Struthio camelus: one gene and its partners. The protein of the gene in region 1 binds, or shares a complex with, the protein of each later gene. Links are inferred from orthologs where the notes say so. Each region holds a gene or a part of one and is shown in the gene's direction. Other genes may lie near its edges. The genes, in order: YWHAZ, MAP3K5, ITGA4 and CFTR.

What was found.
Region 2: the proteins of YWHAZ (region 1) and MAP3K5 are in contact, whole or in part, in a crystal structure (PDB 6EJL), measured with the Homo sapiens proteins. The link is inferred for Struthio camelus from reciprocal best matches to the Homo sapiens genes YWHAZ and MAP3K5. Residues at the interface, in NP_001129171.1 of Homo sapiens: Val46, Lys49, Asn50, Arg56, Lys120, Arg127, Tyr128, Glu131, Gly169, Leu172, Asn173, Val176, Tyr179, Glu180, Ile217, Leu220, Asp223, Asn224, Leu227, Trp228; in NP_005914.1 of Homo sapiens: Ser964, Ile965, Ser966, Leu967, Pro968, Val969.
Region 3: the proteins of YWHAZ (region 1) and ITGA4 are in contact, whole or in part, in a crystal structure (PDB 4HKC), measured with the Homo sapiens proteins. The link is inferred for Struthio camelus from reciprocal best matches to the Homo sapiens genes YWHAZ and ITGA4. Residues at the interface, in NP_001129171.1 of Homo sapiens: Lys49, Arg56, Lys120, Arg127, Tyr128, Glu131, Gly169, Leu172, Asn173, Val176, Tyr179, Glu180, Ile217, Leu220, Asn224, Leu227, Trp228; in NP_000876.3 of Homo sapiens: Arg1007, Gln1008, Tyr1009, Lys1010, Ser1011, Ile1012, Leu1013.
Region 4: the proteins of YWHAZ (region 1) and CFTR are in contact, whole or in part, in a crystal structure (PDB 5D2D), measured with the Homo sapiens proteins. The link is inferred for Struthio camelus from reciprocal best matches to the Homo sapiens genes YWHAZ and CFTR. Residues at the interface, in NP_001129171.1 of Homo sapiens: Asn38, Arg41, Asn42, Ser45, Val46, Lys49, Arg56, Arg60, Glu113, Phe117, Lys120, Arg127, Tyr128, Glu131, His164, Pro165, Ile166, Gly169, Leu172, Asn173, Val176, Glu180, Ile217, Leu220, Asp223, Asn224, Thr226, Leu227, Trp228; in NP_000483.3 of Homo sapiens: Arg764, Arg765, Arg766, Gln767, Ser768, Val769, Leu770, Asn771, Leu772, Met773, Thr774.

What each region holds. Positions count from the first base shown.
Region 1 is NC_090943.1:146,168,230-146,175,552, forward strand, and holds the start of YWHAZ (14-3-3 protein zeta/delta), read left to right. Parts: upstream 1-4,302; 5' UTR 4,303-4,589; intron 4,590-7,095; 5' UTR 7,096-7,105; coding exon 7,106-7,323.
Region 2 is NC_090944.1:74,131,211-74,138,317, reverse strand, and holds the start of MAP3K5 (mitogen-activated protein kinase kinase kinase 5), read left to right. Parts: upstream 1-4,106; 5' UTR 4,107-4,256; coding exon 4,257-4,686; intron 4,687-7,107. UniProt on the Homo sapiens protein: Serine/threonine kinase which acts as an essential component of the MAP kinase signal transduction pathway. Plays an important role in the cascades of cellular responses evoked by changes in the environment.
Region 3 is NC_090947.1:18,678,725-18,685,811, reverse strand, and holds the start of ITGA4 (integrin alpha-4), read left to right. Parts: upstream 1-4,078; coding exon 4,079-4,293; intron 4,294-4,659; coding exon 4,660-4,781; intron 4,782-7,087. UniProt on the Homo sapiens protein: Integrins alpha-4/beta-1 (VLA-4) and alpha-4/beta-7 are receptors for fibronectin. They recognize one or more domains within the alternatively spliced CS-1 and CS-5 regions of fibronectin. They are also receptors for VCAM1.
Region 4 is NC_090942.1:28,687,574-28,694,610, reverse strand, and holds the start of CFTR (cystic fibrosis transmembrane conductance regulator), read left to right. Parts: upstream 1-4,021; 5' UTR 4,022-4,199; coding exon 4,200-4,252; intron 4,253-7,037. UniProt on the Homo sapiens protein: Epithelial ion channel that plays an important role in the regulation of epithelial ion and water transport and fluid homeostasis. Mediates the transport of chloride ions across the cell membrane.

The sequences.
Region 1 (7,323 bases):
GCTACCCACCCACTTTTAATTGGATATGGTTAGGCAGAGGGAGGAATAACTAAATACCTACGGGAGAAAAGATGAGAGAGAAGAAAGAACTAAATGCTGCTTTAGGAGGGGGAAAGAAAGGTATCTGCGGTCATTTTCTTTTCTTTCCCTTCACTTCTTCCTCTCATAGAAAAAGAAAATACAGTGAAAAGCAATGTACATAAATATACATATATATACTTTTATATGGAAATGTGTCTAGCTCTGCAAATGAGTTTTTGCTTCTAGATGTTGAGAAGCATGCCTGACAGTCTGAGATAGTGAAAGTGCAAGTCATCGAACAAAAAGCTGTGTGGAAAGCAGCAGAGAAAATGCATCTGAAGAAAAGGGAAACTGCTCAAAGCTTATCTTTTCAAGAGCCTAATTCTTTGGTCAAAACTGCAATAAGCAAGACAAAACACAACATTCCTCACTGGGGAAAAAGTGCAGGAAACATAAGAATAGAAGACAGCAGGCGAGTATCTGTTCGAGAAACAGCATATGCAAAGGTGAGTAATGTCTAATTCCTTGGATCTGTTTCAAATGGCAGCTGTTTATGAAATCCAGAGAAGTGGAAATGGTGTTTGGCAAAAATAGCCTACTTAAAGGAGAATGAGTGCAGATTCTGTTGACATATGGGGCTGTTAGCAAACAAAAACTCTGGTTAGTGGCAATTAAGGTTGTTGCGGGAGACCTTCCATTCACTCCAAAAACAGAAATAACGGAAAGAGGTGAACGGAAAGACTGATGTTTTTCTCCCACAAAACTATTAATGCTGCCTACAGTATTATCAACAGCCTAATTCACAAGGTTTTCACCTATATTTCCACAAGATAGCAAAAAGCAATAGATACCTATGCTTCCTCTAACATATGCTCCAGTGCAGATTCTTTATATACTTTTAAGAATTATTATTTTTCCTGCATCCATTCGTTTTTCAACATGCTACCACAAAATATTTCAAGTAGCACTCAAAACATAAAGTCTATATTTGGGCTGATGCCATTTCAGTGAGACTTTTCTGCAAAATAAAGGTTTAAAGCTTATGTTAAAAATGAACTCTGTAACATAACTTCAAGCTAGTTGCAGCAAATGCTGTGCCATGGTACCATCTGTGTTCAAGTACAGCTCTCATCCTATTGCTTCCTAAAGTGAAAAATAATGATAAAAAACAAAACTGGATCAGATGAAGAACTGCGTATTGGAATATATTATGAACCTGAGCCTTACGATGTTTGCTACAGAAATGAACTCCCCTTTATCTCCATAGCCCTACAAAGTTATCATCGTGGAAACAAAAAGGTTGTATTTTTCACATTTAAATTAAGCAACAATGATTTGCTCACCTGACACAGCTAGGAAATTCTGGTGAGCTCTGTTCTACCTGATATTGCCCACCACTCTGAATATTTTGCTTTTTTCAGCTCTCTTCACAGCTGTTCCAGAAATATTCCACAGGAAAATGAGTGAAATTCTCTAAACCCTGGAGTAAATGGAGGACACTAGAATTGATGAGAAAGCTAAAGAATACCCCACTGTTCAATCAGTGTCTAAGATAACAGAAGTTTCTGGACAAAGCTTATACAGAAAAAAACGTACATTATGACAAACCTCAACATACCGCTTAGGCCATGAAAAGGGTAATAACAGATCCATAAATGCTACAAGCAAAATGCCACCACAGAAAATGTAACTGTTCTTTGCATGATACAATTTTAAAGTAAATTTTAAAGGTCCTATTCTGACAAAGCCAAGCTTGTCAGGAGGAACTTAAAACGAAGCCTTTCTGATATTTAGTCAAAGCACAGGAGAGTCATTTTGAAGATTGAGAAATAAAATCCCCATTTTTGTGTGATTTTATCACATTCTGAGGCCTACAGCCATTTTACCGGTTCAGGGAGAAAGACAAGGAGCAGGCCAAGAAGCTACCTGGGAGTGCATAGATGGAAAATACATAGAAAAAGACACGCAGGAAAGACTAGGAGGCATAACACATAAGGCAGTAAGTTTGCAGAACCTCTTCATACTGTTTTCTCCTGTACCATATCAACCTGTTCCTCACAAGGAATAGGTCACTCGTCAAGAATACCAATATATTTATAGCTTCCTCTTTCTTTCTCACAAGCAAGTACCTCACTCTTCCTATGTTATTCCCACATACTGTCCAACCGACAGATTTTTTTGACTCTGTCTACACAAATATTTGTCCACGCTGTGTTTTGGCTATTTCTGCATGAGTTGTTCTTAATGAATAGTCAAATTCAATAGTCAAGTTACTCAAAAAGCTACTGCTGCCTGATTTCCAGTTACTGCTCCCCCGCTGAGACACTGTAGCCAACCATGTAACCATGATTTCAGGGTTTATATCTTGCATTAAAAAGGAATAAGGTGGAGCGCTTACTGGAATCTCCCACAAATACAAGAGCTTGAAATAAGTCCGTAAGAGGGAATCTCCCTCTCCCAGTGAAGATGTTCATATTCCATCACACTATCAGATGCTAGATAAATCTGTATCACAAAGTCTTCCCATCCCCTGTGTTGTAACTGACCATTTGCAAAGAGCAGATGCTTCCTCTGTCTTCCCCTGAAGGCATATCAACCACAGATGACCACAAAGTGCAGCATCCTGAAATTGTTCCCTAGCTCAGGCTACTGTTCACACACCAAATTTCTGTTCAGGCATCTCAGTTGCTTCCAATCAGATCCCAATGTCAAACTGAACTCTTTATCTCTAACTCTGTGAGACAGTGCTGATCTCAAAGTCCAGAAGAAAGTGTACAGGAGCTTAAGACACGACATACTTGAGGCAGAGAATCAAGCCAGGGCACTCTTCCAACAGAAGTCAAGTGAATACAGGCTTCTACCACCTTCAGGAAACACTTCAAAACTCTTCTTTCCCAGCAACAGCTATATTCATTAATACGTTTCCTACTCCTTTCAGCACCTTCTCATCACCTTTTGCATAGTGCTGGCCAAAATGCCTGGAGAAGCTTGCGAGGGGAGAGCTTGGCATCCATGGTCTGCTCCCACACCAGTGTCCCCCAGGGCCCTGCCATGACTCCTGGGCTCCTCCCAGCAACCGAGGGTGCCCTCCAGGCCCCTCCGAGCCACGGCCTGCGCTGCATCTGCCGATGTGAACCTCCAACCCCCTCCCCGCTCCTGCTTCAGGATCTGGGTCCCCGCACCCGGTTCCGTTTGCCGCTCAGCGCCAGCAGGCCCTTACAGGGACCTGCCCTCCATTTTGTACCCCCAAGCACACCCTTCGATCCTGCCTCCGTCAGAGCAGCTCTCAATCACGATGCTGCAGTGAAAAAGGTGGCAGAAACTCGGAGAAAACTGGGGAGGGGGGGAAGGGCCTTGCACATTTTTGCGTTTTTCATTTTAATTGGAAAATCTCAGACCCCACAGCCAAGCGTGGAAAACACAGAGCTGAGGCGATGGGTCAGTCCCTGGGCGTGGTAAACGAAGAGCCCCGACACGCACCCGCCTCAACACTGCCGCCCCCTCCCTTCCGGGGCGAGGGGCCCCCACGCGAGCCCACCTCAACACTGCCGCCCCCTCCCTTCCGGGGCGAGGGGCCCCCACGCGAGCCCACCTCAACACTGCCATCCCCCCTCCGGGGCGAGGGGCCCCCACGCGAGCCCACCTCAACACTGCCATCCCCCCCCCGGGGCGAGGGGCCCCCACGCGAGCCCACCTCAACACTGCCATCCCCCCCCCGGGGCGAGGGGCCCCCACGCGAGCCCACCTCAACACTGCCGCCCCCCCCCCGGGGCGAGGGGCCCCCACGCGAGCCCACCTCAACACTGCCATCCCCCCCGGGGCGAGGGGCCCCCACGCGAGCCCACCTCAACACTGCCATCCCCCCCCGGGGCGAGGGGCCCCCACGCGAGCCCACCTCAACACTGCCATCCCCCCCCTGGGGCGAGGGGCCCCCACGCGAGCCCGCCTCAGCGCTGCCGCCCTCCCGCCCCGTTTCCACCCAGGCCCGGGACAGCTCCGCCGCCGCCCCCCGCCTCCGTGGCCTGCGGGCAGAGCCACCGCGACGGCGACCGCGGCCCCGCCGGGGGGCGGGCCTGCCCGGCCGGCCCTGCCCCAGCCGTGGCGGGGTGAGAGGCCCGGGCTGGCGGAGGGGCGGCGCCCCGGCCCGGCCCTGCGGCAGCGAGGACGAGCCCCCCTGACGGGCTCGCTCGGCCTCTGCAGTCACAGGGAGGGAAGGAGGAAGGCGCGCGCCCGCGGGAGGAGCCGCCGGTTTTAGGCGTGGCCGCCGCTCCCCCCCCCCCCGCGCGCCCCCGCGCGCGCCGCCGGCGCCCGCGGCGGTCGGCGAGGCCTCCGCCCTGTGCAGGGAGCGCCGGGGGAGGCGCGGGCTCGCGCCCGCGCCCTCGCCGTTGCCATGGCCCCGCTTGACGTCACGGGCGGTGCGCTGCCCGTGCGTTGCGGCGCGGTGATTGGCGGAGACCCCGTGTGTGGCGCTGGGAGAGAGGCTGCAGCGAAGCGAGCCGCGAGACAGGCACAGTCCGCGCCGGCCGTCCGCCCCGAGACACTCGCCGCGTCGCTGCCGCCTCGCACAGGTAACGGGGCCCGCGGCGCCGCGCGGCCCCGCCTCCCGGCTCCCGCCCCGGCTGGCGGCCCCGGGCCCCGACCCCCGCGCGCCGAGGGAGGCGAGGCGGCCGGGGGGCAGCGCGCAGACCTCCCCCGCCCCCTCCGCCGGCCTCGCCGGTGGCGGCAGGGCGGCTCCCGCCGGGGCTCCGCGGGGAGGGGGCGGGCGAGCCGGAGCGGAGCGAGGCGGCCGCCGCGGCCCGCGCAGGTGAGGCCGCGGCTGCCCCTCCCTGCCCGGCCTCGCCCGCGAGGGAAGGGGGAAGGGGGGAGCCGTTGGGGGCGGCGGGTGGCGGAGGGGGTGGCAGGTGAGGGCCGCAGGGGCGGTGTCCCGCCCTTGGCGGGCGGGGGCGACCGCGCCGCCGCGCCCGCGCGGGAAGGGGAGGGGGTGTAACGCCTCCGCGGGGCGGGGGCGGGAGCGCGGCCCGCAGTGCGCGGGCGGCTGTCGCTGGGTGCGGTCTCCCGCCGGGAGCGCTGCCCGGGCGCGGAAGAGCCGCAGCGGCCGCCCCTCCGTCGGGCTCGCTTCCCTTCTCTCCGCCCTGCCCTCCTTCCTCCCCCATTCCCCCCCCCCCCGGGCGCCTTCCTCCGCCTCCCCCCCGCCCCACCGCGGCCGAGGGGGTCTCGCCGGGGCGTGCGAGGCTGGCCGCAGCCCCGCGGGCGGTAACGGCGGCTCCCCCGGAGCGGGGGCCGCCTCCCCCCTCGTCCTCCTCTTGGCCACTGGGGCGGCGGGGCCGGGCCGGCGGGCTTCCCCTCGGCCGGTCGCTGTCGGGGCGGAGACGCTGCATCTTCCTCCTCCGCCGCCGCCCCCCGGCGTTGGGCGGAGGTGAGTGGGATTAACGCGCACTGAAGTGGGCTGGGCTCCGACGCCAGTCCGCCATGACAAAGGCGGCAGCGAGGCGCTCGGTGTCTCCGCGGCGGGCGGATGCGGCGCGGGGCGGGGCTGTCCCCGAGCGTGCCTCCGCGCGGGGGGCCGCCCGCCCGGCTGCCCGCAGCACCATTTTATGCTGTCATCCAGCGTGCCGAGCGGCATCCTCCGGTCCTCGCCGCGCTTCAGAGCGGTCGTCTTCACCCATCAGAACCAAGGGCCGCTTGGCTGCCCGGAAGGGATACTGCCGTACCCGTCTGCGGGCAATGGGTAGCCCGGTGGCCAGATAAACTGGCGTTCAGACAAACATTCAAACCACGTTTGCCTTAGTCGCACCGGGTGGTGAAACAACCGTAGCCAAAACCTTTCTTTAAAATGGCTCCTTAACCCACTACTTATAGTGTGGTCAGGACTTCGGCACATGTTAGCAAACACTGTGGAACAGCCACTGAATTGCTGTGTGCCAGCGTTGGGGAGAGCAGCTGCTAAAACTTTCTCCTTTCAGGTGTCTAGGATGTTAAAACGTGCTTTGTTTGTCCTTAAATAGGAGGTACTGCAGTTAGTGCTTGTGGTAACTTTATGTAAAATGACCAAAGTTAAGCTACTGAATTATTATGTGTGAGGTTGCTAGTTGGAATGTATAGAAATAATGTAGCATATATCACCAGAATTGGTTCTCGTCTTAATAATAAAACCTTAAAGGAGGGTGTATTTCAAAGCACATAGTAAGGACCTGAAAAATGACTGGATCAAGATACATGAAAACTTGGGGGGTGAGGTAGGATTATCATGTCTTGAGGTACAAAAAAATATGTCGGTTATCTTCGTTTGGCAGAGCTTGGTTTAAAGAGTCTGGATGTGATACAGGCTATAAAGTATCTCAGCCAGCTCATGCTGTCTCAAAAGCTGATGTTCAAGTAATATTTTAAATAGTGAAGTCTCCTTGGGTCTGTGAAAGCATACCTAACCTCTCAGACTGAGGAGCACTGCCTAGGTGAGAGGATTTAACCTATTACCGTTTTGGGAAAGGAAGCTAACGTTGTCAAAGGGTGTACTCCTTGAAACTGCTTGAATATTTAGGGAGCTCTGACTTCTCAGCCTCCAGTGTTGGGTTTGATTTGCAGATCCCTATGGCTAGTCTTTCTGCACATAAATATAAGGTCCTGTTAAGGCACAGAGTTGTCTCATACTGTTTGACTAGCCTGTATTTTGTCTGTTCCTATGTTGTCAATCTTATTACCTTGATAATTAGATGCAGCTGATGCTGCATCTTTACTGCACTCATATGAGAAAACTGAGTGATGGCAAAGGACTGGGATTGTGCGTATGCTTGAGATAGGAGTGATCTGCTTTCAGTTCACATTTGGATGCTTATATTTGTAAACATTTAAAATAATATTCCTTTAAAAGTTAACGTTTCCTTAGAAGGAGGCAGTGACTTGAAGTCTTCAGCTCATGTATTTGAGCATTGGAGCTTGCCTGCTTTGTGTTCTAGATTTTGGTTGTACATTTCACAATTTCAGACTTCTTGGAAAACGGTTGCTCTGCATATGACATTAAAACATCTTTGTCCTTGATAAATGTCTGAATAATACCTCCCTGTTTTTCCTCTGTAGAAAGATCAGCATGGATAAAAATGAGCTGGTGCAGAAGGCCAAACTGGCTGAGCAAGCTGAAAGATATGATGACATGGCAAGTTGCATGAAGTCTGTGACTGAGCAAGGAGCTGAGTTGTCCAACGAAGAGAGGAATCTTCTCTCTGTTGCTTATAAAAATGTTGTAGGAGCCCGTAGGTCATCTTGGAGAGTCGTCTCAAGTATCGAGCAAAAGACGGAAGGCGCTGA
Region 2 (7,107 bases), on another chromosome or scaffold:
GGAAAGTTGGGGAAAGGGGAAAGCAAAGGAGGTTGCAGGAATGAATACAGAGTCACACGGGGAAAGCGAGGTTAGTAGAAGGACAAGGCAGTTAGCATGGACGCTGTCCTGGGGGATTTGAAAGAATAGAAGTAAGAAGAGGGAAACACATTGGAAGGGAGGAAGAAAGACAGGGAGATTTAGCAAGAAGCGTGAGACTTGCCACGGGCACATTTTTCACTACACTTGGTCTGTCGTTCCACAATACACGGGCTTCAAGGCCAGTAATAACTGATGAAATAGCCACCCCCCACCACGTGTCCTTGTTGCTCCATCAGTCTTAGCTGATTACCATTTGTGGGGGCCATGCCATCATTTGATAAGTGAATTTATCATGCTATTACTACTGTTACACGATCAACTGCATCCCTGCAGAATGACCACCAGTCTCTGTTTTCCAGCTTCTTAGTACTTAAGAACTGCTTTAAATGTTTAGTTCCATCCTGCATTTGCCATTCTTTTTAAACTTGGCAGCTGGCACTCTGCTAGCAAAATGCTGCCCTCTCCATATTGAACATAAAGGATACCTCTGATTTTCTACAGTGATATATTTAACTTTCATTTGGTAGAAGATTTAACTTTTAAGAACAATTTGTTTATTTCAGTGATCGTATCTATTTGCTTGTGAGAGTTCTGTTCTAAAGCTCATGGAAACAGGATTAGTTTGTGTACTTTCAAGATCTCTTGTTTGGATTTTTGCATCTGCAAGTTTCTTTATATACTCTGTTTTCCACCCACAATTCAAGCACATTGGACTCTGGTTTTGCAAACTCCTTTTTTCCTGCTTATTAGTGAAAAATTTACAGCGTATCTCTAATCTCTCATTTTTGTATGCTGTCGTATAGTTAAATAAGAGGGTCTTAAAATATGGATGAAATTTAGCATCTGCTTTAAAACCCAATAACCATCAAGAAAACTCAACGGGCATGTTACTCTAGAATCTTTTTTCTGCCAGCCTTGTTGGATGTTGAAGGCCGTATCACACTGAAAACGTAAGTCGGACAGAGCGTTTTTCATTGTACATGTATTTTAGGTTTACTTTCTGTAAATCAGAACACGCTCAGGGAAACTACCCTTTTTTGACTTGGGTCTCGTTATTACTAGTATGAGTGAATAAATCAAATCTCTGATGTCTGTCACACACTGTTTGACACTTACCAATAATTGCATTTATATTTGAAACTAACATCCAAATTCTTGGATGTTGAAAATCATAATTTGGTTAAATCCAGAGGTCAATGATTTATGGTTGTAAAAGCATATAATGAAGAAAGGGTTCTTATTTCAACAATTTTACATCTAACTGCTTGTTAAAAGTTCTGTCATCAGAAAAAATCAGAGTGGAAGCAGGGCCACATTCCATACTTAGTGCTAAAGATGTTAGTTGCACAGCACCCAGAAAACAAAGTGAACAAGCTAAGCGTACTTCTGATAACAACCGGGATACTACTTCCGTTTTAAAAAAAAAAAATCCTTTGAATGATCATCTTCTAATCAAACTTCTAAATTGAAGAGCTCCTAAACATATGAATCATCACTTCAAGGAGTTAGCAGATTAAAGAAATATGCTTTTCCTTTATAAAAGCATAGACAATTTGTGTCTACTATTCCATATTAATCAGTGTTTTAATTGTTTTCAGTTAAGGGCCCAGCCTCAACCCCAGACAAATCAATAGAGCTATCTTGAACGTGGTAGGGATATGGCATTAGTAATGAAGTGAGGCTCACAAGTCAGTAACGCTAAGTGAATTAGCATGCTTCTTCCTTCTTTCAGTCCATGACTTCCTTCTGCGCTTGACAAACATGGGCTGTTCTAAAGAACACCACAGAGACATATTGTTCTTGCTTCCTGTAATGTGATGCAACTGTAGCGTTGAATGGATTAACACTGATTCTGTGTTTTGTGGAAAACTACATTATTTAGAAAAACACTGATTGCCATCCTGACTGTAGCCAGAAACAATAACCTACTGTATCTGGCAGATTAACAAATATTAACTTCTACCTGTAAATTGGTCTTTAGTTTGCTCGTCGTCTTCTCACCCCATTTACCCATGTGTTATCAGCAGAAGCAAATGCCAGGCATATCTCTTTGGAAAAAAGGACTGATCGACGCAAAAGCAAACAGGGCTACTGAAGGTACTGCAGTGACTAATCTTTCTTAATTATTCCAGAATTGATCCTCTGTCTAGAGCAGTCACGGAAAACAACGATAGAGGAACAGGCTCAGTGCCAACAAGATGATTAGTCTCAACAAGATGAATTGTAATGGGATGGACTTACTGATAATACAAACAAACATAGCTATAAATATGTAGAGCACTATTTTTCCTCCATGCTTTTCCTGGATCTACTTAATGTAATTCCTCCAATCCAAAGAAAATCTAACAATCATTAGGATTTCACTGTATTTTTGTTCAGAAACAGACTGCAAAAACTCTCAACTTCCTTTCCTTTTCAAATCCATTTTGAATTTCTCAGCGATTCATTCCTGGCCTGCAAACAATGTGCAAGTTTTAGGCAAGTTTTTCATATTATATATTATTTATTATATATATTACTTCAACTATCAAGGGATCTTTTCTTCTTTCTTGACTGGGAAGACTCTTACACCAGATTAACGCTTCTTTTGGTGATATGCTAGTTATTCAGATTAGTTTGCTTTTCCATGAAGAAGTATTTGTTAAATATCAAATGCCAAAGTGTTCATGAAAGACAAGTTCCAGGTGAACACAACAATGCAATATATTTAAGCAAAATACAGAGTAGCTTTTCAGTATGGCACTTTTAAAAAGAAGTATGAGCTGGGTACTGCTGCAGGCAGCCACAAAACCTTCAGTCAACTTGAGGCCATCCAGGAACACAAAGAGAGGAAAGTTTAAACAGGAAGAAGAGTAGAAGACAAGGGTTAATGATTATTAAATCCTGACAACCCTTAACTGCACAAAACGCAAAGCCACTCACTTAACTAGACTATCAGGGTTTAGGAGTAAGATGTGCATAAAAAAAATAAAAAAGGCAACAAGAACTATCCTGAAGTAAAGGCCAAAATTCCCTTCGGTTTTTCAGAGCACGGGATCAGGCTGATGCCGAGTCACTACACATGACTTAGTTTAACTTAAATAAGCCCCTGCCTGCATAAAACTAACATCTGCAAGTGAAAGCGCGTATTAAAACCTCAGGCAAGTCGGGGCCGGCTTCACCTCAGCGGCTGTTAGCGTGGGGGGAAGCACAACCCGAACCCAGCAGCACACTCGCCCTGCCCGACGCAGGCTCCTTTTACAAGCGGTATTAAAAATAAAGCTCTGCGGAACACAGCGGGGAAAGGGCCGCCGGCTGACAGGCATCCTCTGCTCCCTCCCGCCCAACCGCCCGCGCCGGCCGTTACCACACGCCTGGCGCGAGCCCGGAAGCGGACGCGCGAGGCCCCAACCGCCGCCGGCACCCCCTCCCCCCTCCAAAGGGGGACGCCGGCCCTCTCGCCTCCCCTCTCGTGAGGCAAAAACCACCGCTGCCCTGAGCGGCTCCGAGCACCGTTCCGACCTAACCGAAACCCGCTGCCGCCGCCGCGCCCCCCACCCCGGGCTCCCCGGAGCCGCGGAACAGCTCGCCCGCCCGACTGGCCAAAGAGCCCCCAGTGCCCAAAGCGCCGCCAGGGCTGCTTTATTTCTGGCCGGAGGCGGGGCGGGAGGAGGAGTCTGGTGGCTGCGGGCCGCCCCTGCCCGAGCCGCGAGTAGCTTTGCAGCTGTCGCTCGGCTAAATCGGGGACGCCTAATAGCAATCCCACAAGTGGTTCCTGCCGGCGGCCAACCAACTTCGCCCGGAGCCCGCCCGCAGAGGCTGGGGGCCGAGGCGCGGGGGGACAGCGGCGGCGGCGGCGGCAGCAGGACCGCGCTGCCGGGCCGGGCCGAGCTCGCCCGGCCGCCCCGGCAGGTGACGCCGCTCGGCGGCGGGGGAGAAGGGAGCGGCGCGCAATGGTGCCGGGGGCCGGCGCCGGAGGAGGCTGTGCTCGTCTCCCTGCCTGCGGCAGCCTCCGCTAACCTCTGAGGGGGAGCCCCTCACTTGCGCCCGGCCGCCTCTCCCCTTCGGCAGCTCGGCAGCAGCGCGCAGGGGCGCCGGGACCGTGCCGGGGCAGGCGGCGCAGCATGGCATCCGCCTAACCGCGGCCCCGCGCGGGAGCAGCGCCCGGGACGCGCCGCGGCGGCTCCTCCGCGGCCATGAGTGACAGCAGCGAGGGGATCATCAGCCTGTCGGTGCCCAGCGCCGCGGGCGGCGGCCCCCCCTGCGAGGAAGGGCTCGGCAGGCGGGCGCAAGGGGCCGACGGCGGTGCCCGCAGCCTCCTGCCCGACTTGGCCGCGCTGCCGGCCGGCAGCCTGTGGGGCGAGGAGAGCGCCGCCGCCGCCGCCTGCCCCGCCGGCACGGGCATCGCGGCCCGGGCCAAGGGTGGCGGCGGCGGCGGCGGCAGGCGGACGGCGGTCACCTACGTGATCAACGAGGCGAGCCAGGGGCCGCTGCTGGCAGCGGAGAGCGGCGCCCTGCAGAGCCTGCGGGAGGCGTGCGAGGTGGTGGGCGCCACGCTGGAAACGCTGCACTTCGGCAAGCTGGACTTCGGCGAGACGGCGGTGCTGGACCGCTTCTACAACGCAGGTGAGACCCCCCTCCTTCCCCCCCCTTCCCCGCCCGCCCGATCTACTATCGCCGCTCCCCGCCGTCCCTCCTGCCTTACCGCCGCGGCGCGGCTCGGCTCGGCTCGGCTCGGCTCGGCTCGCCGCTTCCCGGGCGGCTCCGGCCGAGGCCTCGCGGCGGCCCCGCACCGCCCCCCTTCCCGCTGCCGCCTGGCGGGAGGGGCCCGGCGAGCCCGGGGCTGCCCGGGGCTCCCCGAGGAGCGGCGGCAGCCGGCGCCGCCCTCCCCTTCCCCCGGGGTCAGCTCGGGTCGCCGAGCCCTCGGCGCAGCGGCCCCGGGGCTGCCGCTGCCGGGAACGCTGCGCGCCGGTGGGGTGGGAGCCGGGGGCGGGGGGGCTCGTCCCCCCCTTCGCCCCAAACGCGGCGGTGACCCCCGGCCGCCCCTGCGGTGCTGGGCGCTGGGCTGGCGCCGAGCCGCGGTGCCGCGGCTCCCCCCGGGCCCTTCGCTGCTGCCAAAGTATGCCAAGTGCTTCCCCCCCGCCGCCAACGTGTTTTGGAGAAGAAACTCCGTGTCAGCAAGCGTGCTGTGAATCAGCAGTTGTCAGGACTGCAAGAACTTGTACATTTTTTTTTTTAACCTATGCATAAAGCAGGACCTGACCGCTTTTTCTCGATCACCATAAAAAAACGCGGGGGGGAGGGGCAGGTTTTTGCTGAAGTGCTGAGCTGCGGTTGAAGTGCCTAGGTGCTGCAAGGGCTCGGCAGCTTTGTGCAGTAGGTTCAGCGTAATTGGGACACTCTGTGTGTTTTTTGTGCCTGGAAGTTCGTACTTCAAATATTGGTTGCATACAACGTTTATGATGGATGGGGTAGAACAAAGTGCCTTGATCCAGTCAGCTGGCAACAACATCCCTGTGCTGCATCCTCTCACCCGTCTGCCTGCTTTCATAAACATACAATTGCAGCTCCTTAATTTGAAACCATGGTGACCCTAGATTATCTGTTATGATTTACCTGGCCCTATTTTTTAAATAATAGCCCGAAGCTTCCTACTGTTGTATTTCTCTTTTTGTTAGCAGATACATAAAATGAATGGAGAATAAAAACAGCTGCTTACTAGATTTGTAAAGACTTGAAAAATTATACTACCGAATGAATGTTTTCCTGCCTTAAAAAAATAGAAGCAGCAACTTGACTTGACCCAGAATTCTAAGCCTACTGTATGGTGTGTTTTTGTGTGTGTGGAATACACTGGCAAATGGGCACTTTAAAAGTTTTGGCTAATACAGGAGTTCCCTCCCGTCTTGGAGGAGGGAGGGAAAAAGAAAGAAAAGAATCTAGCTGGGTTGTAGGCCGTTTCCACAGAAGATTCTTTCAGCATGAACATGCATATGCATGTTACTTCTTTGAAACTGCAGAAGCTTTGTCTCCTGGACTACTGCTTTCAGTTCAGTGAGAGACGGACGGTTTTGGAGTGTGTAGCTGCTTGTCTTGTACCTCCGACAGCACTGTGCCTTGAGAGTTAATGTTTTCAGAAGTGGAAGGGGCTATGCTAGCGAATGGAAATGGGAAGAAATAGCGCTCCAGTGTAGCTCTTACCCTCTCCCCGTACAGAGTAGAGAGATCAGATTTTAACTCTGACACTTGTTAATTGGTGGGCAGTTAAAACCTGAGGGTCTCATTTTGTTTCACCATGGAAGCGGTATCATAACACGCTCACACGGTTGGGTTATCTGTGTCTTGTTTTTTTTTTTTTTTTGTGTGTGCGTGCCTCGTATGTTTGTTAGTTTTTACACTCTGGACTCTACAGCGGTTTGGGTCTCGGTAGTTCACAGAGGCTTTTCTTGTAACGGGAGATTTGACTTGAAAGTGGGCCCCTTGAATTCTGCCAGTAGGCGTCTGGCATATAACACTGCATAACTGCACGCTTATGTAATATAACATTGCTTATTTCAATGGCTTTTGAGCAAGCTGTTTAACATTGAAAACATTGCTTTTTCTTTCAGTACTGCTTGGTTATGGGAACTTAATCAAAGTGTTGCAAAACAGGAAAAATACCTTGCCATTGTGCTTTAGTAGCTAAGCCTAATAAATATGCAAAAAACTGAGAGACACATCCAGATCATGGGCTGAAAAGAGCAGGACACGAGAACGAGTTTGTATCTGCTTCCAGTATACTCCATACCTTCTGAGCCGAGGAGTCATGAACCAGCTGTGATCCAAAAACTGTTTTGTGCTGTTGACTTTGAAGTTGGAACTTGGATCTAGAAAGATCTGAATGTTTTCGTACTTGTTTCCTTATTCCTGCCACATTTTATGTACAGTACGTATTTCTAAGAACTAGTTGTTCTCTGGAAAGTTTAAGCTAGTAAAAAATAACTATCATTTTAGGAACAAGACAGCGTTAAAAAGTAGAGGCTATGTCAGCTGAAGAATGCAAATAGA
Region 3 (7,087 bases), on another chromosome or scaffold:
GAGATTAATATGCTGAAATGGAAATTATTTGTAGGAAAGGATTGATTAAAGAAATCACTAATTTTCAAAGAAAACAGAACTAAATAATATTCTCTTTTCAAGTTCTCTGAACATAAATATTTACTTTTCATGTCAAAATAGCTGTTCGTGCCAAACATAAAACATTTGTTTTAAAAAGTGCAAAAAACATTGTAACTGTGCTGATCGAGACTTTAGCAATGGAAGATGTAGAGGGAGCAAATGAAAATACTCTTTGTGTGTATTTGAGATGGGAAAGTTGCAAAAGCTCAGCAATTCCTTTGGGATGGGAAAAGAGGTTTCTGCCCAGTCCTACTCAAAACTAATTATTTATGGTTGGGCCTGATCTCGCAGCTCGAAAATCTTACACAAAATTCTAAGAAAGAAAGAGGATATCCTATGCAGTTACCTCACACACACATACAATGATTAATTTCCAGTCTTCCTCTCCCATATCTTATCATTATAAATCAGAATGCAGTCACTAGTTATACCTCTTCTGAACTATAACGACCTATTATTTGCTTCTGCTGGTCAGGATGCCATAGCCTTTATCTGTATGACATCATTATAAATTTAAATATTGGGAAGTTATGTTGGAAAACCCATCCTTCACTTCACCAACATAAGCATACAATGGAATGAAAAACTTCCAAAAAACATCCCCTAAAAAGACATCATGTGAGTATAAAAATGTTACTTATTTTAAAGAAAATATTATTTATCAATTAACAAAAAAAGCTTCTTCCTCTTTAGCTGATTCGAACCAAAATCAGATCTCTGAAGAGAACAAAAGGATAACAATAAAAAAATACTCTTGTTAATATTAGCTTCTTCTTAGTGCCTTGGACACCTGTGCTTAATTATACTTGTCAGTGGACAATATATTCTACTCTTGCTGCAGAGGGAAGATGAGGTTTTCTTGCAGAGACTCTTCGGAGTAAATGTAAGGGTATATTTGCCTTCGCTAATTTCTCAGATGACAGCGTATGAGTAAAAGACTGCTATTATTGGGGGAAAAAAACTTACAGAACAACAAGAAACACTTCTGGTCAGATCAAACCCCCAAATTTTCCACATTTCAGTGGATCACAAAGGCTTAGAAAATTTCAGTTTGAAATAACAACATTTAGGTATTTAGACAGTCTCAAAATGAAACATTTCAACCTTTTCTAATTGGAACCGGAAATCACCTTGTGATCATTTTGATTTTGAATTGAGATTAGATCTGGAGACACTTTTCCGTAAACAGACACAGACTTTCATTATACCAAGGAGAACAAGGACAGGCACAGCTGGAAGCAAGTACGTTCATAAAGATTTTTAGGAATGCGTGCTTTCCCTTATATTTGCAACAGGGTGAAAACATTAATGTGATCAGCTACCCAAGTTACACAGGAACTTGATTTAATACACATGCCATCCAAATCAGGGAATCGAAAACGGAGTAGTATAGGTTATATAGAAAAAGAGCAAATGCAAGACTTTCACAACAATATGTTCTTCCTACAGTGACTTCCTTTCCCCCTAAAAGGCTCCCCCAGAACCATTGCTTTCCCCAAATTAAACAGCCTAGGGGAAGGCAAGGTTTGTTTCCTCAGTGACCTCCTTTCCTACTCCCTCCAAACTCAATGACATCTAACAAATGAAAAACTCAGCAGTTGTCATAATCTTGATACTCCTCTCCCGTCTTAGACCCAAAGTCAGAAAAAGCACTTGTGTCCTCTCAGAACAAAGGAAATGAGAGTATATTCATCTGGAAGGATGAAAGCCTCTCCACATTTTCTGATGAGATATAGATGCACATTAATAGAAATCTCCTACTAGAGATCCCTGGCTGATCAGGTGCTGATTGTGCCCCAGGGCCGGCTTCAGAAGGATTGCACGCCTCAGGTGAAGTCTCGTGCTGATTCCTAGGAGTCACACTTCAAAACTTCCATGGCAGCTACTCTGTGAAACAACAACTCTCAAGCTGACAAAAGGTTCTGCAAAAGCCATTATAGAGTCAAGAACGCACTCCATTTTATGGAATCTGTATTTTTCATTAGCCTATAGACGAATACAAAAAAATCAAACAGCTGCGCTTCAGGTATTTCTTAAATCAGAAGAACTTTAATATCTAAATACACTGTAAGGCTACTGGAAACGGAAGACATTGACTTACGCATAGAACACCACAGGCCGCAGTGTCTCTCTCCCCCCCAACTTGTCAGCGTGTCCATCTAGTCTTAAAGGTTGGGTCAAAAAGGCTGTTACAGCTATGCATTTGAAACTGGATTCAGATCAGTATCTCTTCAATCAAGCCACAAAACCTATCAACTATAGCAATTTTCAGCAGTAATAGTTTTGTCTCAGATGTATTAGCTACTGGCACATAAAATGCTCCACATACTAGTAGCAACTTAACAAAACTTCTGGCCATCTCCTATAATACAACTTTATTTTGAAGGGTATTTGCTTTTCATGGACAATATAAATGTAATTTCGTAGTTCAGCAATAACAATATAAAGTGGCCATTTCCTGGCAGCTAAAAGCATACTGGAGACTGAAGCAAAGCACAACATTCACACGAACCTAACTCCTACTTTTGTCTGATGCCGAAGCTGTTCAGCCAGTTAAATTATGGAAAATCCTCAACTTTTGAACTGATTTCTCTCTACATAACTTAATTTGCCATGAATGTGTCAACAGGAATTGCCTGTGTTATTACCAAAGAAATTACAATGTGACTTCATATTTCAATAGGGGAGACAATTATACCATCGCTATAAATAAATAAAGGTATTTAAGCTACAGAAACCACTCTATCAAAAACACTACATTTTTGATATTTGATGCAGCAGGGTATTAAGTCAGAAACAAAGCCTAAACACACAAAGAAAGAGGTAAGAGAAATGCAAAACAGCATCAAAATAATTGTAAAAATGGAATCATGGGACTTGTAGCCTTATCTGTAATTGATTATATTAATTGACACAAGGGCCCTGAACTATGTCAGTGAAACAGAACTCTTGGTAATAGTTTTAATGACTTCTGTTGAAAAGCCAAGCCAAAACACTGCATTCACAGTTTGATGAAGGAAGGAGAAGAATACTACTAATAGCTAATGCTGCGCTAAACAATACCTTCTGGAGGGAGGCAAGCAACTGAGACAGGCTGGTGATTAAACAGTTATCATTAAGGGGACTTCTCACAATGTCCTTAGTGTATGATTTCTTATATTCTGTTTTACCTGCTGTAATGTGTGCATGCTCCTTCATCATTCCCGCCATCCAACACAGTCCACAGCCCCATATCTGCCCCAGGCTTTATCCTGGCCAACACCTTCCTAAACCCAGGCATGAACTATCTTAATAAATAGTTCCTGTCCTTTGCTGTTAAAACCCAAGTTTTAGGACTCAAATACCACCTCACTACCAAAAGGAGAAGGCAAGAGAGATCCCCTCAATGCAACGGCAATGCAGAAAGACTTGCAACAGGGGGATGCTGGGAGCTTTTTAAATTTTTAAGGAGAATGTAAATCTGACCACACCATTTCCCTCAGAGAAGATGAGCCTCAGCTTTGGCTAGTGTTTCCATGCTGGCACTCAGGGGAGATACTTTTCAGGGAACAGGAAATTAAAGTAAATGGGCTCGGTTATTTCAGGGGCAGCTGGGATGGGAAAGTCAGCTACGACATTTTAGGGAAAGCCTGCTCTATTTCCCCCCCAACAACCACCACCACCACAACACTCACTCATCTTCTCAAGGCCTGCGCGGCCTCCTGGCCCGGGTCGGGGAGCTGGCCGGGCTCTGGCACAGGGGCGCCCGTGCCCCGCGGTCTTCGGGGCTGGCAGAGAGGGGGGGGGGAGGAGGGGACGACCCCGCGCTCCCCGGGACACGAGGGACCCTCCTCTCCTCGAGCAGGGCGGACGAGGGGAAGCCCCGCCCCGGCTCTGCCCTGCCCTGCCCCACCGCCAGCGGACGCGTCCCGGGCCAGGAGCTGGGCGCTGCCCTCTCGCCGAGCGCGAGCAGGAGGCAGCGGCGGGCGCCCGTCTCCCGGCCGGCCGGCCGGCAGCCATGCGGAGCGGCGGCGGGGGCGCGGCGCGGGGGGCTGCCCGCTGGGCCGCCCCGCCGCCGCCGCCGCTGCTGCTGCTGCTGCTGCTGCTCTGGCACGGCCTGCCCGCGGCGCGGCCCTACAACCTGGACACCCAGCACCCGCTGCTCTTCCAGGGCGGCAACGGGACCCTCTTCGGGTACTCGGTCCTCCTGCACCGCCACGGCGAGGACAGCTGGTGAGTCCTGCGCCCCCCCCCCACCACCACCACCGGGGGGCAGAGCCCAGCGGGGCAGCGAGGGGCGGCCGGCGCGGAGCCGGCTGAAGGCGCGGAGCCGGCTGAAGGCGCGGAGCCGGCGGCGGGCGCCCCCCGCTCGGCCGGGCTGGGGCGTTTGGCGCTGCTCTCGCTGCTGCTCCCTAGAGCCGGGCAGCCTCGTGGTGGGAAAGCGGGCAGCTCCGGCCGGCGGAGCGCTGGGGGCGTTTTTTCGTTGTGTCGCGTTCTCCCCCCCCCCCTCCCCCCGGGACGCGCCAGAAGTTTGCGCGGCCGCGGCGACCCGCGCGGGTCCGTCCCGCGCCTCCTCACGCCGCCGTTTCTGACCTCCAGGCTCGTCGCGGGCGCCCCCCGAGCGAGCTGGCCCGCCAACAGCTCCGTGGTCAACCCCGGTGCCATTTTCCGCTGCCGGATCGGGAGGAACCCCCGCGGGCGCTGCGAGCAGCTCCAGCTGGGTGAGTGGCGGCGCGAGCGCGGGCAGGGCCGCGCGCGCGGAGCGGAGCGGAGGGCAGCGGGCGCGGCGGGCTCACCCCTCCCCCCGCGGCCGTTTCTAACGGCCGTTTCTAACGGCCGAGCGGCCCAGCCCGGCCTGGTCCCGCCGCGCGCGCCTGCGGTTTGAATTCACCGCCTCGCGATGTTCCCCTGGTGTCATTTTGAGATTAAAGCAGTGTTTGCCTTTCACTAAGGGCAAGGTCAGTGCTGTTATCAAGTAATGGAGAAGGTGGCATCTCTTTCTACAGAGAGAAACGCAACAGAACTTGATGAGGGGAAACGCGCCTAATGTAACAGCTCCCATTCCCGTCCTGTTTTCTTTGGCATGTTTCAGCACCCGATTCAAAGCCCTCCTGAGATTTTCAGTTCTCCCTCTCTGTCTCATACTTTTCTTCAGAAAGCTACTTAGGCTTTCTAAGCAGAGCGCAAATGTAGCTAACTTAGGGAGGGAAGGTGGAAATCATCGCTTCTCTGCAAAGCATTCCTTTGTAGAAGCCACCCTAAAGCAACGGTGAAGCACAGCCACCTTGCAGATGGGTTCTTACCACCTGTAAATGTATTGATAAACTGAGTTTCAGGGGACCAAAGCTATTCATGACTGAGTCAAATTTGCTGGCTCCTGTATTTAACCTAATCTCTTCTCTCCACCTCCCCTGTCCTCATGCTTGTGAAGTACAGGCATCTTCCAAGTGTTTGATACTTGCTCAAAATGAGCATACTCTGCAACTGGTTGCCGTGAATGCATTGCTTTGGGCTCTGTTCTCATCCTCCTTGAATACAGTGCCGTTCAAACTCTATCCCTGTGCTACGCATAAAAAGTTTCCTGAACTTTCTCTTTTGCTCTAACTGAAACAGTCACTAGAGCCGGTAGAACTATGAACTTGCCACCCAGTAAAGATAAGAAGCACGGGAAAAGGTTTTCAAAATAGTTGAAACCAACAAAAATGATAAAGCACCATGGGCTGACTTACTTTCAGGCCAGAATACAAGACTTTACTGCAAAAATGTTAGGTCAAAACAATAATTTCTTTATGTAGCATTTAGAATTGATAAGTTCCATACAGTTTTTCCTGCAGCTAGAAATAAGATTTATTTTCATACTTAAGCTACAAAGAGCTAAGATACTTCGGTGGTGCTTTAGTTACATAGGTAAGAGATAAGCAGTTGCTTGTAGAAAGAACTGTAATTAAACATATTCCAGCCCAAGTGGTTCTCTTCTTGAGTAATTTCATTCCAATATTAGATCTATTGCGAAATGATGAAGAACTTTCTTCTTCAACCACTTGTCTATAACAGGAGGTTTGGAAAAGTGAAAGAAGTCAACTAAATGAGTGAAATAGCATGTGCTAAAAGGCATTAAATCCCTGGCTCTGGATTGGGGTAAAAATAGTATTGATTACGTGGGAGAAGAAAAAGAGGGAAAAGGTGCTAAAGTTTCAGGTTCTTTGAATACTACTGTAGCGCTGCAGTATTTCTTGAGTTATTAATTTAGCCAGTGGAGAAACCAAAGCTCTGACAAAGTAACTTGATGGCTTTTTCTCGGTTGTTTAGGGGATTCTAAATGAAATGGTGCAGTTGAAAATGTTTATGTGGTACCAAAGGCTTGGTTCAGTGAGTCTTCCGTCTCCGGATTTAGAGACTGCAGGTACACAGTGATGTTTACTATCTTGTTCAACCCTCTTAAAAACAGTTATACCGCAAGGAGAAACAGAAATGTTTGTTCCCTTACTGATAGGCGACTTCTTTATAACACCAAGGTAGTTCTGTGATATACCTGAAGTTAAGTAGATACTTAAAATAAATGTTCTATTATAAAGTGAGAAGTGAGGTCAATAAAAAAGCCAAACCACGTTGCAGTGCATGGGATGTAAATCAAGGAGAGGACGGTGTCAGGGTTTGGTTAAGCCTCTGTCATCATGCTGAGTAGTCACAGAATTACACAAGGGGACTTTGAATTGCAAAGTTAAACTTAATCTCTTATCTAACTCATTCAGACTGTCAGCAGCTTTTGGACATAATGGTTTTATCAACACTATGTCTTTCAATCAGTGATCTCCTTGTTCTTCTGCTTGGATTTTTGACAATGACAAGTTTGGGTTCTGATCTCTTAGAAGAGAGTAATTTCCTTTGAAAAATGGGCAGGGATATATTATGTTGCTGGGACGGGAATTCAGAAATAGCCATGTTTATCTTCCTCTTAAATACCTGAATTCACATCTTTTTTCCATGTAATAAGTTTCTAGTAATGAGTTACAGAAATGTAAAGGTG
Region 4 (7,037 bases), on another chromosome or scaffold:
TGAACGAAACATTACAACTAAAAATAGTTTCCAGTTAACTAAAGGTTCTGAAATATTTGAGGGTTGAGTTAGAGTGAAATTGATTTTTATATATGATTGCTTCAGCCATCAAAGAAAATAAACGTCACCTTGATCCCTATTTTCTTTTTCCCTATCCTATCCAGAGAACCATTTTTTCTCCAAGGATGTTTTAAGGGATTTTTTCAGAAGATCAGAGTTATGAGACTAATGAGCAGAAAACCTATTTCATTTTAAGCAGCAACAAAAAATCAGTGACTGTAAATGTTACTTTTGGCAGCTGCTTAGCTTTTGTTTTCTATGATGATGCTTATGTGGTCATACTTTCTCTTTCCACTAACGACTTTTCTGTCCCTTTGTCCACTGATGTTGGCTAATGGATCAAGTATTTAAATAGAATTACTTTCCTCCACACTTGCAAATCAGCAGCTGGGTAAAAATCAAAAAACCCCAAACCCCTAGTGTGCTGCTTTACTTAGAAAACTCAGTTTGTGACTCCATGGCAGCTAAAGTCGATCTTACCCCTGCCTTGCCTTCCTCCTCTCTTGCCCCTTGACGTATGTTTGTACTCTTACTTATCTTGGCAGTAGTGCCGAGTAAGTTATCTTCCTAGTTAGTTCAGGGTGCTGATCCTGCTGAAAATGAATCACTCTATGGTAGAGTTTTCAGTTAGACCAGAACCTTGACTGCTTTACATGCAGTCCAGTAGTCCTGGAGGGGAATAGGAACATGTAACCAAAGGCAGGACAGAGGCCGGTACAGCCTCCAGGTGTAACTCACTTCTGAGTTTCTGTGAACATGGCAGCAACTGAGCAGCTGATCCGTTTCCTATGTCTGCGGCTTCAGACTCCCTACCGCAGGTTGTTTCTCACTTGGCTGGGGTATCATTGCACTTCTGCAATGATGCAGTATGGCAGCCAAAGTTACTGCAGTGATGGCAAAGGAAATAAGGCTTTGCCTGTTCTCCTGTTCACATGCCACCTCACTCTGCAACAGGCTCACTCCATTTTTTTCAAAAATTCGAAGTAAAATCAGATAGATGGTGGATGTGGATACAATTAAAGGATAAAGTAGCTGTTGTCATATCAGATTGCATTTCTGTGGAAGTGAAGGAAGATCACATTAATTACATTCATAGATAATACTAAATTTGGATGTATTTCAGCCCCTAGAGACAATAGAAATATCATGGTTTATTCTTGCGCATAGAAATGCTAATGACAAGTTTCTCATTCATGTCAGCTGGAATATGTTCAAGCTCCCAGAGAAGATTAGGAATAATGGCTGTTCTGAAACTACAGAATGTTCAGTTCGGGGGAAAAAAAAAAGGGCAAGGAAATTATTTGTGGAAAATTTGAAAAGCACAACTAGTTAAGAGTTTGTGACTGTGTGAGGTGAGATGGAAGCACATGAGTTCTATACAAAACTATCAGATCAGAGAGCAGGGAACTAATCACTCCTGGGGGTTTGGTGGTGCTGAAATAGCGATAACTGGTAGTTAAGAAACTAGTCAAATAGTCTTAAGTTTAGAGAAGAAATGTTCAAAATTAGGGATTTAGAGAACTTGACATATGAAGGGCAGTGGAATTTGGAGCTAAAAAATCAACAATAACTACTGGGATATCTTTGTTAGTCCCAAATTTACTGGAAATGCTCCTAAGTCAGCTCTGGTGATAATAGCAGCAAGGACTTTTATGGAAAATACTCCATTAGCCATTGACACTTTAAGCAATTTGGACTTGATCCACAAAAGGTTTTAAATGGCTAACATACCTCACTTTCTAATGTAAAATACAAAAAACCTTCTAATCCCCTGCTCAGTTTCTGCCTTATCTGAACACACCAGAAACCTAAGGGCTAGAAAGGGAAAGAGTCTGTAGCAGGCTAGTTCTATGTTGCTCAAAAGACTTGTTTTCCAGCCTGTCTTTAAATTGGCATTTAACTATTTTGTAACAGTGAAAGAATTTCAGAGAAAGAGATCCACTTCGATCATCTGTGTGTTAGGGCCCAGTGGGGAATTTCCTTGAGAGGTGGAAAAATGTGGATTCACAGCCTTGCCTTAAGTCAGGCAAAGGGGGGATTCGAATCCTAATCGCTCTTTTCTGGTTGAGTATGCTAGTCACTGAGCATAGTGGATACAGAGGAGTTAGATTGCCATTTGTCACCGCTTAATCGAGGAGAAAATCCATACCTTTAAATATGAAAGGGAGCAGGTACCTTCGAGTAGCTTAGAGCCCGGTGCCAAACTCCTCGAGGTGCAGCGTCCGCCTGCTCCCCTGTTCGCTGCGGCGGGGGTGCTGCGGTGCGGCAGCCCCGCGCCCGTGCCGCCGGGGCCCCGTGGCTCCCGGGCCGCGCGGCGGGCTCCGCTAGGTGGCAGGATGCCGGAGAGCTCCCGCTGCGGCGCCGCTCGGCTCCCGCTGCGGAGCCGCGCGCCTCCGCCGCTGAGCACCGCCGGAGCGGTGCGAGGGGGCACCTAGGAGCTCCCCACGGCCTGCGAGGAAAAACTGTAAGGCGAAGAGAAGTTCTGTATGAAGGCGCTGAGGGGTCTAGTGAGAAGCAGTGATGTGAAATAAAAGAAGAGATAGCCGCAAAGATTGCAAAGAGTGACAGCTAGTTAAATCGTAGCATAAGCTCTGAGACCATAAGAATCACGTTTGCCCGTTTAAAGAACCAGTGTGGACAGAAACGGTTGTATGCTTAGGAAAGCATGACCTTTTCCATTAATACTTTTTTAATTACAGAGGTAAAAGGCAACTGTGTAAATATCGTATTAAAATGTTAAATGAAACAGGAGTAAGTTATATACAGAACTAAAACGATCAGAAGAACTTATTCCTGCTTATTGTCATCTTTATTTTATTTTAAGCATGCTTTCTACTGCATGCTCTTTGAAAGCAGGGATTTTGTTTGTACACTACACGCATAATTCCAGAAGCAGCTTTGTTATTAAACGTCGGTGTTTGGGCTAAATTTTATGAGGATATACCTTCAATTCCCATTCCTCTACGTTCAAGTTGTCGTGCCTATGAGAAAACTTGAAAAATTGCAGCAACTGTATTTTAAAGTGAATGTTGTTGTGCGCACTGTTCTCATTTATTCTTATCTGAGCTCCCTGTCCGCTGTCTATTGCTTGTTTCAGTCATTTCACAGCGACGGCGTTGGCCAGCAGCGCGGCGCACGTGAATGGGGCCCCTCACGCCCTCTCTGCCATCGCGATGGCCCAGGGCGCTCCTTTAAGAGCTGTCTTGCAGGACCTCGCACAGGGGTCCTGGGGAGCCTCAGGCGGGATTGTGTTGGGTTTCTCCCCCATACTGGCGCTAACGGTGGGATAACTCGGGCTTTGGGCATGCACAGAAGTTAAACCCCGTTAAACCAGGCTTAGGCTCCCTTCGGTCTTAGAGGGCGCCCCCGCGCCTCTCGCGGACCGGCAGGTTTCGCTGCGGGTTTGCAAGCAGGTGGCTCGGGAGCTCCGGGTTGGGTCTGCGGCGGGCAACGGTGCGCGCGCGGGGGCAGCGTGTCCCCCTGGGGGGCTCGGGGGGGGTGTCTCCTCGCTGCCCGCTCCCCGCTGCCCCCGGTGCAAAGGAAGAAGGCACAGTTTAGAAAGGCGATTCGCCTCCTTGAAGGGCGAGGGAGGTCGGGCTGGAGGGGGCTCGCAGCCCGGCTCCCCGCCAGTCCTGCGGGACTCTGCGTTAGTGACTGCTGGCAGGGCGCCGGAGCGCAGGGTGTGCGAGGCCCAGCCAAGCCGCGTTGGTAGGAAGAGTTAATGGGCTAGCGCGAAACCCAGCGAGGAGCCGGGGGAGGAGTGTGTGTGTGTGTGTGTGTGTGCGTGCACAGTGGGGAGCTCCGGGAGCCGCGGGGCGCGCCCGGGTGCGCGGCGCGGCGGGCAGCGGGTGCCGGGCGCGGCGGGGGGGTTGGGAAGGAGGAGGCGGAGGAGGAGGCGGTGGTGCGCGGGCCGGCTCCCGAGCCCTCCTGCTTTTGAACCTGGGCAAAGCAGAGGCGGGGAGAGGGGCAGGGGAAGGAGGCAGGCAATGACATCAGAGCGGCCCGAGCGGATAAGGTGGGAGAGCCGCGGGAGCGGAGCGAGCGAGGCGTGAGCAATTAGCGGCGGCCGGCAGTTCCCCGCGCCCAGCCCAGCCCAGCCCCGCGCCGCGCCGCGCCTCCCCGAGGCAGCCCCGGGCACCATGCAGAGGTCCCCCCTGGAGAAGGCGAACATCTTCTCCAAACTTTTCTTCAGGTAGGAGCCTCGGCGGAGCACGTGCGGGCCGGGAGGGCGGCGCGGGCGCAGGGCTGCCTGGCCCGGCGGAGGGCTCGCTAGGCGCCAAGGAGCCCCAGAGCAGTTTGCAAAGAGAGCAGTGGGAGCCTTGCTTGTCGAAAAGTGATGTGATCTTATCTGGCTTTTTTTTCTCCCTCTAGTTTTTAGCACTAGGAATGGTCTCTATCTATTTGGTGTCATAAACCGTCAGTGGTCCTAGACAAATTGATTTATGACACAATTTGAGCAACCTTTGGTAAATTGCTCAACTACTTAATTTGTTATTTCACTACAAGCTGTGAGATCACGGGGCGGGGGGGGGGGGTGAATGATCTGAAAGCAAGGGTTCCTTCTCCTTGACTTTCCATTTTTTTTCAGTTCAATATGAATGTAATACAGGATCTTACTGGAAATAGTTCCTTGTAAGCCTTGAAAGTGTTCCCTTACGAGTAAAGTCCCTGGCATCTTTTCTTTCTTGCAACTTCAAGAAAAAGAGGAGAAGGAGCCAATACCCCAATGCCTGTGCACCACACAGTTCATAAGACAATTCAGAAGCCTGAAAATGTTTTACATGATATTGTTGGAAATAACACTACCAGCTGGAAGGAACAAATGATCTTTCTGACCCATGTGTCAGTTTTGCTGTTTTCCAAGGGAGCCGGCTTCCCCTTTTGTTACGTGAGGGTCTTTCATGCAACACCTAAGGGAGGGAGGAAATCTTACATGAAACATGGCCATGGTGACTGAAGTGAGGACACGTGATAGAAAACCATAACATTGGCACGAGGTTCTTGGCTGAGATACTAACTGAGGGCTTTTAACTCACTTTCTAAAGCTTTTGGGATAACTTCCCTTTTCAGCAGATTGGCATAGATTTGGACTTTTTTTTTCTTAGTTTCTTAAGAAGTGGCTCTTTATGAATTATTCTGTTTGCTTGCCTGCTCCCCTTTGATTCCTTTGACCGTTCATTTCAGCCAGATGAGATAGCTGTGAAGGATCCCAAACACAACCAGTTTCTCAAGTTTTGTGAAATGCCCAGCTGAAGGAGACTCCTGTCAGTGTCCTCTACAGATGCTGCAATGTGAAAGAAGCTGTACCTGTACTCAAATGCTCTTAGACCCAGAGAGTGTGGATTAGTGGGAGTGAGCCCTTATAAATTCTCCATAGAAAAGCTTCAGTTGGTGCTCCAGTCAAGTGTAAGATTCAAATCTGTAGGAAATAAGGCAACATATTAACTTTGTTGCTCGTGGAATCATTTGTTCGATTTCATTTTATTTATTTTGCAGCTTATAGCAGCATGCTGTCCTAGAACTTGTGATGCTAAAGATGTCAGGCAAAATTCCCAATAAAATATATTGCTGATTCTTACCTTAATTAAAATTCCCATGTCCAAAAGCAGATGCAACTCATGCTCATTAACCTTGAGTCTGAGTCTTTATGTCAATTAAGTGAGGTTTGAATCATGCGTATCATGCGTGATGTGTGATATTATACTGTCTTATGATAATATTATGATAATAAATATATCAAGAAAAGAGATATTTATGGTGAATATTGACTAGAACAGAAGAGTTTCTGTGCAAAACTTTATGATAATATTGCTTCAAAGAAGAAACAAGCTATTAAAGTAAGCATTCAGTTCACTGGGTAAGAATAGACAAAATTATATATAGACTTCTATAAAGAATCCAACATGATATGCTTCTGTGAATTATAAAATTTACTTGCATTTTACCATGTATATTGGTAAAATATCTCTGTTCAGAATTATTATATGAAATATTTGCAAAGATCACAAAAGTGAAAACCACAAGATAAAAAATATTACATCCCAATTTGCATCAAGAATGTCTTTCTCTTAAAAAAAACTCTTTGGAAAAATGAATTATTTGTAGCTGTGAAACATATGAGCGTGTTTTAAAATATTTGCATTCATTCCTCACTGACTCAGAATTTCCATCTCATCAAATTAATATCAGGATCAATGTTAAAAATTATTAGAAGGTAAATTATAACAGAGCAAACATTTATCAAGTATGAGGATTTTACAAAACTTAAAAATATATTATTTGTGATGAGCTTTATAAAGTCAGAAGAATTTACTTATGTATCACTAACTAAAGAGACCTGTTCTGTCAGCTGGAAACATCCACGAAATTGTGGTTAATGAATTAGATTGGATCAAGGTTTTGTGAAATGTCAGATTATTTTGTTAGTGTTCTAACTGAACCTACACATGTCCTTGGTTTCTGAAACTGATCATATTTAGCAAAGCACTTCAGGACATGCCCACATTTAAGCATGAGCTTTAGTTCCATTAAACTGTGTGAGATACAGAAGTCATGAGCATTCTATCAGAAAGAGGTAGTCAGTTCTTAAAAAAAAGAAAAAGTTATGTCTGGAAAAAAGATATTACTTTTTCCAATAATGATTAAATAGTTGTTTTCAAGTGCAACACTGAGGACTTCTTCAGTGAAATAACTTTTTTAGTAGTTGCTATGGAACTATTTGTAAAGTACAAACCTGAATATAGTGCAGTAAGTTGAAAGTTACTATAGTGGAAGTATCACTAAAGAATAAAATACTATTTTTCAGGAAAGTCTTGCTGATAAATGTAATATTATTATTTAATATTGCACAAGCTGTTATCAGCTCCCTGATAATAGTATCTGTAAGCCCATTGGCAAGGATCTCTTGCTTCATCCTATGTCCTGTTCAGGCTAGGGATATGTTTGAACATATTAAAATGCAGAATGGGGCTTCTAGC